Daphnia pulex: one gene and its partner. The protein of the gene in region 2 purifies or fractionates together with the protein of the main gene of each other region. This does not show direct contact. Links are inferred from orthologs where the notes say so. Each region holds a gene or a part of one and is shown on either strand. Other genes may lie near its edges.

What was found. Proteins that work in one complex are often made in the same cells at the same time.
Region 1: the proteins of ataxin-2-like (region 2) and protein LSM12 homolog A-like purify together in Homo sapiens (affinity purification with mass spectrometry; 4 studies listed by BioGRID and IntAct, with this or other methods). This does not show direct contact. The link is inferred for Daphnia pulex from reciprocal best matches to the Homo sapiens genes ATXN2L and LSM12.

The regions. Positions count from the first base shown.
Region 1 is NC_060021.1:9,119,703-9,123,181, forward strand, and holds protein LSM12 homolog A-like, read right to left. Parts: upstream 1,905-3,479; 5' UTR 1,783-1,904; coding exon 1,659-1,782; intron 1,459-1,658; coding exon 1,325-1,458; intron 1,259-1,324; coding exon 1,149-1,258; intron 1,085-1,148; coding exon 958-1,084; intron 894-957; coding exon 816-893; 3' UTR 576-815; downstream 1-575. Other genes in the region: tubulin alpha chain, testis-specific-like, read right to left, coding at 2,686-2,736, 2,800-3,045, 3,107-3,479. UniProt on the Homo sapiens protein: Nicotinic acid adenine dinucleotide phosphate (NAADP) binding protein. Confers NAADP sensitivity to the two pore channel complex (TPCs) by acting as TPC accessory protein necessary for NAADP-evoked Ca(2+) release.
Region 2 is NC_060021.1:9,703,478-9,707,235, reverse strand, and holds the start of ataxin-2-like, read right to left. Parts: upstream 2,758-3,758; 5' UTR 2,544-2,757; intron 2,486-2,543; exon of another isoform or gene 2,307-2,485; 5' UTR 2,141-2,306; intron 2,076-2,140; 5' UTR 1,993-2,075; coding exon 1,798-1,992; intron 1,736-1,797; coding exon 1,528-1,735; intron 1,453-1,527; coding exon 1,343-1,452; intron 1,278-1,342; coding exon 1,153-1,277; intron 1,090-1,152; coding exon 821-1,089; intron 749-820; coding exon 1-748. UniProt on the Homo sapiens protein: Involved in the regulation of stress granule and P-body formation.

The sequences.
Region 1 (3,479 bases), about 580 kb from region 2:
TTAGGATATTAAAAAAATTTATATATTTGTTCAGAAATGAATTTGTCAATTTCAAAAAGAAAATCACTAACTTCAACTTGACATTTATAAAATAAATGAAAATTGAATGAGCACCACCTAGCGACCAGTTTTAAAGTTAATCGAAATAAAATTAAAAAAAGGGAAAAAAATCTTGAATTTTGTTATAAATATGATGATTCCGTGATTCGGGTTGGCGTTATCTCAGAAGCATCAGCATTTGACAAAATCAATATTCCCTTTACTTAACAAATATAACCCGGTCAGCTCAGCTGTGACATTGTAATCTCATGAGAAGGAATTGAAGGAATTGTTTGTTGAAGTATTTTACTTAGATAAAAATAGTAAGAACTCGACAACTTGCTTATTGATTGATAAGAAAACGAATAATATAAAAAATTACTAAGTTGTACTGGCCGAGTGAAAAGTGGTCTAAATCAGAACAAAAAATGCAGTATCACACAAAATCCAATTTGCCAAGGCCAATTGAAATCAGTTGGCTACAGCAATAATAATTTAACTCAATATAAGTACTTAAAATAAAAACTCAATGAAAGTAAACAAGAAGTTATCATTGTATATCATCTCGCCATTTCATACGCCACTACACGCTCCGAAAATCATCAAGTATTTTTTAATCGGACGTATTTTACAGCTGTGAAGAACCAGCATTCTCTTTGCTTGTTTGAAGTTGTTGTATTTATTTATTATCTAGAATTTTTGAGAAGATGGTGAAGCAGGATGGAGAAAATGGTACTGGTCGTCGTGAAAAGAGTGGGGCCATATTTTGCCTGATTTCACGGAGAAGCTAATGTATTACTGTTTTCACTGCTTCCTCCTTTTGTATCTGAATGGTCTTTCATGTACTTTTCAACCTATAACAAGAAAATAAAATCTTAGCTTATTTGATGTATAGTAGTGATTAATCCAGACACTCACAATTTTTCTAACATGGTTCACAGCCTTTTCCATATTGCCCTGGACATTTTCTGGATGATACGGGGGACTAATTGTCACTTGATCCATGACTCGAATGTTTTTGCCTTCCCATGCAACATCCTCAATCCTGTAGTTAATTTTTATAAACAATAGATTATGTTGTTTCTCTGATTCCCTGCTGTTATCCTCACGTTCGTTTGACAGCATTAAACAGCTTGAGCCCTTCAGGAGAAACACCAGACTCCAGGGCAGTTATCATGTGTTGTTTTCTTTCTACTTCCATACGCACCCTTTTCTTCAGCTACCAATCGAGGATAAAAGATGTATATAGCATGATTGATAAAAGTAAATAGTATTTAAAACTTACTCTTTCGACATTCTGAACTGGATGGGGAGGTGGAGAAGAAGTTGCCTCTCTCTTTACTTGAACATCACTCACTTGCCCAAGATTTACAACATGTGCATCGTTGACAGAGGGTCTTCCACACGAAGAAGGTGATTCTGAAAAGAGCAGAGGTCTATTATTAGACTGAATTCAAATATCCCTAACAACAAGAAGGAAGAAAATGAGTTGCACAGTTTGAAAAACGAGTTTATAGTTAAACAAACAGCGTGTGCCAAGGAAAAAAAAAGTATGAGCGTGACAAGTAGCCGACAAGAGCGTGAGTTATCGGTTAAGTTAAAAGAGCCGGTAAACTTACTGAGAATCAGCATTTTGGTAGGTTGATCAAAGGCGAGGACTTCGCCTTCGATCACTTGATTATGGCATGTTTTGCACGAAACTAGACTTCCGACCGAAAAGTACTCATTGCCATCCGACGCCATATTTTGGCTCCAGAAGAAACAGAAAAAATTCTCCAAAAAACGGGGCGAGACACAACAACACTCCGATCAGACAACGCTGGTAACATCAAGTAAAAAGTAGGCGGAGTCTAGCAGACATGCCGGCCGCACGGGCACCCATAAACCCATTCCCCTACCTTCTCTTTATTCCAAAATCCGCGTTATCCCCTGCGTTTGACAGACAGAAGTGACGTTGTCGTTCATTTTTTTGTAAATTTCGTGCGGGAATTATAATTATTATTTTTTTTATTTTTAGCTAAAGTTTCGTCGTTTATTATTCCATATTTTTTTGTGGTAGTGGATAAATAACCTACTCAAATATTTCGCATTTACTGGTGAATGTCTGTGGAACTAAACAAGCAGATGCTGATGCAGCTGTTACCTAAGTTTACGATGCAGTTGGCATTCACAACACTTCAAGTCAACTTAAACTATGCGGCAATTTTATTGATGTTCTGTAAAGGGGTCACATGTGTGTTTGTCAAAAACATGACGCATACAGATGTTGAAGACCACTACGTTTTCTACCAGCTACACACTTAATAATAAATTCATCTGTTTTTAATATCACAGATACCAGATATTCCAAAATATGCTTATACTTGCATTAATGGACAATTCTTAACTATCTTTTACTTGCATTAATGGACAATCCTTAATTATCTTTTTCATAGCTGAAAAATATTGCTGACTAACTGACCAAAAGACGTTCGAAATAAAACATTGACAAGAGGATTTAACGCGAGAAGTATCATATTGGCTTTAAACGCTCTAAATAAATAGAGCAATTAAGACGAGAAACACTAGAAAGCAAGCAACAAGCACCTGCCACTAGATAAAAGGGGTACATGTTTTTCTTGGTTAACAAGGAATGATAATTTTCAATTAATATTCATCGCCACCTTCTCCCTCGCCTTCGACGGAATCCATACCGACCTGTTTTACAAACAATAAATTATAAAATCATCTAGGGGGGTAAATCGTAATCAAAATTGTTACCTCCTCGTAATCCTTCTCGAGAGCGGCCAAATCTTCACGAGCCTCAGAGAACTCTCCCTCCTCCATACCCTCACCAACGTACCAATGGACGAACGCACGCTTGGCGTACATCAGATCAAACTTGTGATCCAAACGAGCCCAGGCCTCGGCGATGGCAGTCGTGTTGGACAACATGCAAACGGCACGGGAAACCTTGGCCAAATCACCACCAGGAACGACAGTTGGGGGCTGGTAATTGATACCGACCTAACGAGGAGAAAGAAATCAATGAGAACCAGCCTGTGGGCAATTGCTATAAAAATACTACCTTGAAACCAGTTGGGCACCAGTCAACGAATTGAATGGAACGCTTGGTCTTGATGGTGGCAATAGCAGCATTGACATCCTTGGGGACGACATCACCACGGTACAACATGCAGCAAGCCATGTACTTTCCGTGACGGGGATCGCATTTGACCATCTGGTTGGCCGGCTCGAAGCAAGCGTTGGTGATGTCTCCAACGGAATTCTGCTCATGATAAGCTTTTTCGGCGGAGATGACGGGGGCGTAGGTAACAAGTGGGAAATGGATACGAGGGTACGGGACCAAATTGGTCTGGAATTCAGTCAAATCAACGTTCAAAGCGCCATCGAAACGAAGAGAAGCTGTGATGGAAGAAACGATCTGGCCAATCAGACGG
Region 2 (3,758 bases):
GGGTTTCCTGCAGTAGGAGAAGGAGTTGCTTTCTTCTCATCCCCAGCGGCGTTTTCAGCCAGGCGAAAATCTTGACTAAACTTCTTCAGATCCGAGTTTTGATCGTCTCTGGTTTTGCCTGGTTTTAGATAGAAACTTTTAGAGTTTTGTTTCACTTCGGAATGCACAAGATTGTGCTTACCAGCATAGTTCTTCCGCTGTTCCTTCGGACCATGATCGCGTTGTGGCAACGAGGAAATAGGGGCGTGTGAATGAGATGGAGCGTGACCGCTTTTCGAATCGTAAGCCGAATCGCGGTTGACTTTGCGCTCATCGCCGTTCGCAACGCGAGAATCTGATTGTTGAGCAGAATTTTTATTGTTATTATAACCACCAGGCGGTCCTTGGGAACGACCATAGTAGGGACCGGAAGACGAGCCCCGCCCTTGCGAAGATCCTTGGAATGGCTGATGCTGTGGCCCGCCTTGGTGATAACTTCCACCTCCGTGGTGTACTGGACCCGAGTTGTTCGGGTGCGACTGCGAAGTGTGACCAACACCCCTACCGTCACCATCGTAGTTGTTGCCACCGTGGTAAGATCCACCTCCACCACCACCTCCTCCGCCTACCGACTGATGTCTCGGAGCTAGGTTGGGGTGAGCGTGTCCTCCGTGAGCACCGTGGGGAGGGGGCGTCGAGCGCATCATCTTGCCCATGTTTTGGTTGATGGCGCTTTTAATAGGCCGCTTATTTGGATGAACATATTTGGCTGCATGAAAAAAAAAATCGAAACTTTAATAAGGCAGTTCGTTTGCATGAAAGACAGAATTTGTTTACGTACAGCTGTGGGCACTACCTCCGCCGGCATTAGCAGAAGTTGTGCTACCTCCTCCGCTGCCACCCATTGTGCTCCCGCCTCGGTCAGACGAACGATTACTAAAGTCTCGGAAGTCTCGGGGCTCACGGCGTTCACGAGACTCATGGCTAGGTCTTACCACGGCCGAAAACTTTTCTTCTTCGTCACTGGCGTTTTCAAGGTCCGCATGCGCTTTAGAGACAGCGTTTCCTTCGATACTATTAGCCAGGATAGATGCTTGAGCTTCTCTTTCCCTAAAAAAAATATTAGCTTAATTAACGATTACACGATTGTCGAGGATAAAAATCCAATTTTACTTGAATTCGGCAGAGTCCCTCCTTTCTAGTTTACACGTATACTGTGACAAATCCTCCACAAAACTAGTTTGAACTCCATATACTTTTTCATTTCTGGCAAACATTTCATTAGGATCCCATCCATTCTAAATTTTAAAAAAGAAACAGTAAATTTTATGCGTACAAAACAATAATAATTGCTTTAAATTACCGCATTATCCAGTGAAATGTTACAATCATCACCATCACCCTCCCAGGGTTCAAGCTCTTTTTCTCCACTGAGCCCATTAAAACGGCTTATGGAAGTATCAGTGGCAAAATCTGAAATAAGAATTTCAAACATTAGTGATGTGCGCATGAATTATGCAAAAGCAGTCATTATTTGAAGCAGTGTACCTTTAGTGGCATAGTCCAGTTCTACATCTTTGGAGCTCATCATCACAATCATTTGGGAACCAAAGACAACCTCCCTAGAAACTGATTTAACATCAATTTTATCAGGTTGGCTGGGGTCAACTGTATGAACCAGTTCTAAAACAACTTCTAACTGAGGAGAAAACGTGCTAAAAATTCCTTCAAATATTTTCCCATTCGAAAGTTGGATCTGAAACACAAAACAAGTTGAACCTAAAATTGTGGACTACAAGGTCATACAATTTACCATACCTGAACTGTATTCCCCATGAGGGAAGTAATTGTTTCACAAAATCTTAAATTCTGGTAAATGCCTTCATATGGGATATCTTTGTCCGATTTGTTTCTAGAAGGTGGTGTGTTGCGATTTGTTACAGCAACATTGCAGTTCCCCGATGTATTTTGAGGGGTGGAGGGTTTGCCCATCTTTGCTTTAGACTTATTCATTGTGTTTGCCCTCCAGAATTTCTACTTCCGATGAAAAGTAGACTCTTGAATACTCATACAATTAACAAAACCCCAATAACAGCCTGTAAGAAAAGACGGGTTCAACTCAAAACTTGTGTGGTGATTGATTACAGTAACTGATCATTACCTTGAAAATGTACAATTCCCTGGTTTCTAAAGAAATCGTTGACGGTCGAGTTCTGGGCTCACTCGGGGTAGAAAAGGAAACGAGAGTCTGCGATCTCGTGAGCCGGACGAGTAATTTGTGTGGGGCCGGTTTTTCACGCACGACGTTACCCTTTTGTCGTTCAAATCTGCGTGTAGAAAAGCGAGGCTTAATGTTCAACTTGCGGCCGATGAGTTCCGTAGGGGGTAGTGTTTGCTTTCTTTCCGTCACAGGAACGGGTAGAAATTTTAATTCGCCAAAGAAAACGTTCTTAGACCTGAGGACGTGAAAAATCCACCACCATCAAGAAGTCATTCTGTGTCTTGCCTATGTTCAGTGAATCTAATACATATGGCCACCACTGGGGAACCAAAAAGTGAGGTACCTCTGAATCTCAAGAGTTGGTATCCAAATCCGATTGGAGACTAGTTTTCTCAGCGGGCTAAAACTCTTTTCCAGTCACAAAATTCGAAATGATTCAATGCCCGTCGTTTCTCGCAGATGAATCGATGAAGATAATGTGGAATTGATGAAGGATCTATTTTAAGCGCGTAGCAAATGAGACGTTGCGAGGGTTTTCTCAACAAACTTGTACAATCGTCTCATAGGTGGCTTTTTAGTCAACTTTCCTAGGTCATCTAGCGGTAAAGATCTAAAGCTAATAAACGGGCATTGTGAAATATTGCTAAATTTCAAATTTTTTGTTTATTTTATACAAAATAACAAAAATAAACAACTCTACAACCAGCATTAATTATCACATAAAGCAAGACCAAACGAAACACAACAAGATCTAGTTGTAGGGAATGACAGGCCTATTTGTCCACTGTCCAACTACTTTCTGTATTATGGAATTTGGAACAAGGAAAGAAGTTAATTCAAAGGTATCTCAAAGATTGGAATTAAATTTAATTATTTAAAAAATTAGTAAAATTTTAATCACATAGTGCAAGCACAGCAGAGGTATACATACCAATAAAAATTGTCCATGGTTGTTGTCTTCCTTTGTGGTCATGATTCACATTCAGCACGACACATAAAATCCTTTAGTACCTGCAATAGAGAAAAGAAGTCCTACTCTTGCCTTGTAATGCAAATAAAAAACTGAGCAGTTCATCAATGAGCCAAACGAAAAACCAGAGATCATCGAACCATAGGTTGTGTTTTTGAAAACAAAAGAAGACGACGAGAACAGTGCTGCTAAACAACATCTCCACGATAAGTCGATAACCCGATGTTGCCTCGACATAACGATTAAACTTATTATGCTTTGTTGAAATTCATTTACAATAAATTATCTAAAGCTTTAGATATATTTTTAAGTAAAGCATTTTTGTGATTCGAATGGGGGTATTTTTTCAGCAGTTACACAGAACTTGTCGGTCGGCCGGTAGGACTAAACGAAAGGCACGTTTTAAGTCGTCTGCTGATGTTGACGATTGAAAATTGAATTCTAGTTGAGAAAAATTTCCAGCATCAAAATTGATGCATCGTTTTCTACTTGTTGGATATATTTTGAATCGTTAAGGTAAGTGTAACTGGGTTAGAGAAAATTGAAACATGGGTTAGATCGCATTGAGTTAGCAGTTTTCATATGGTT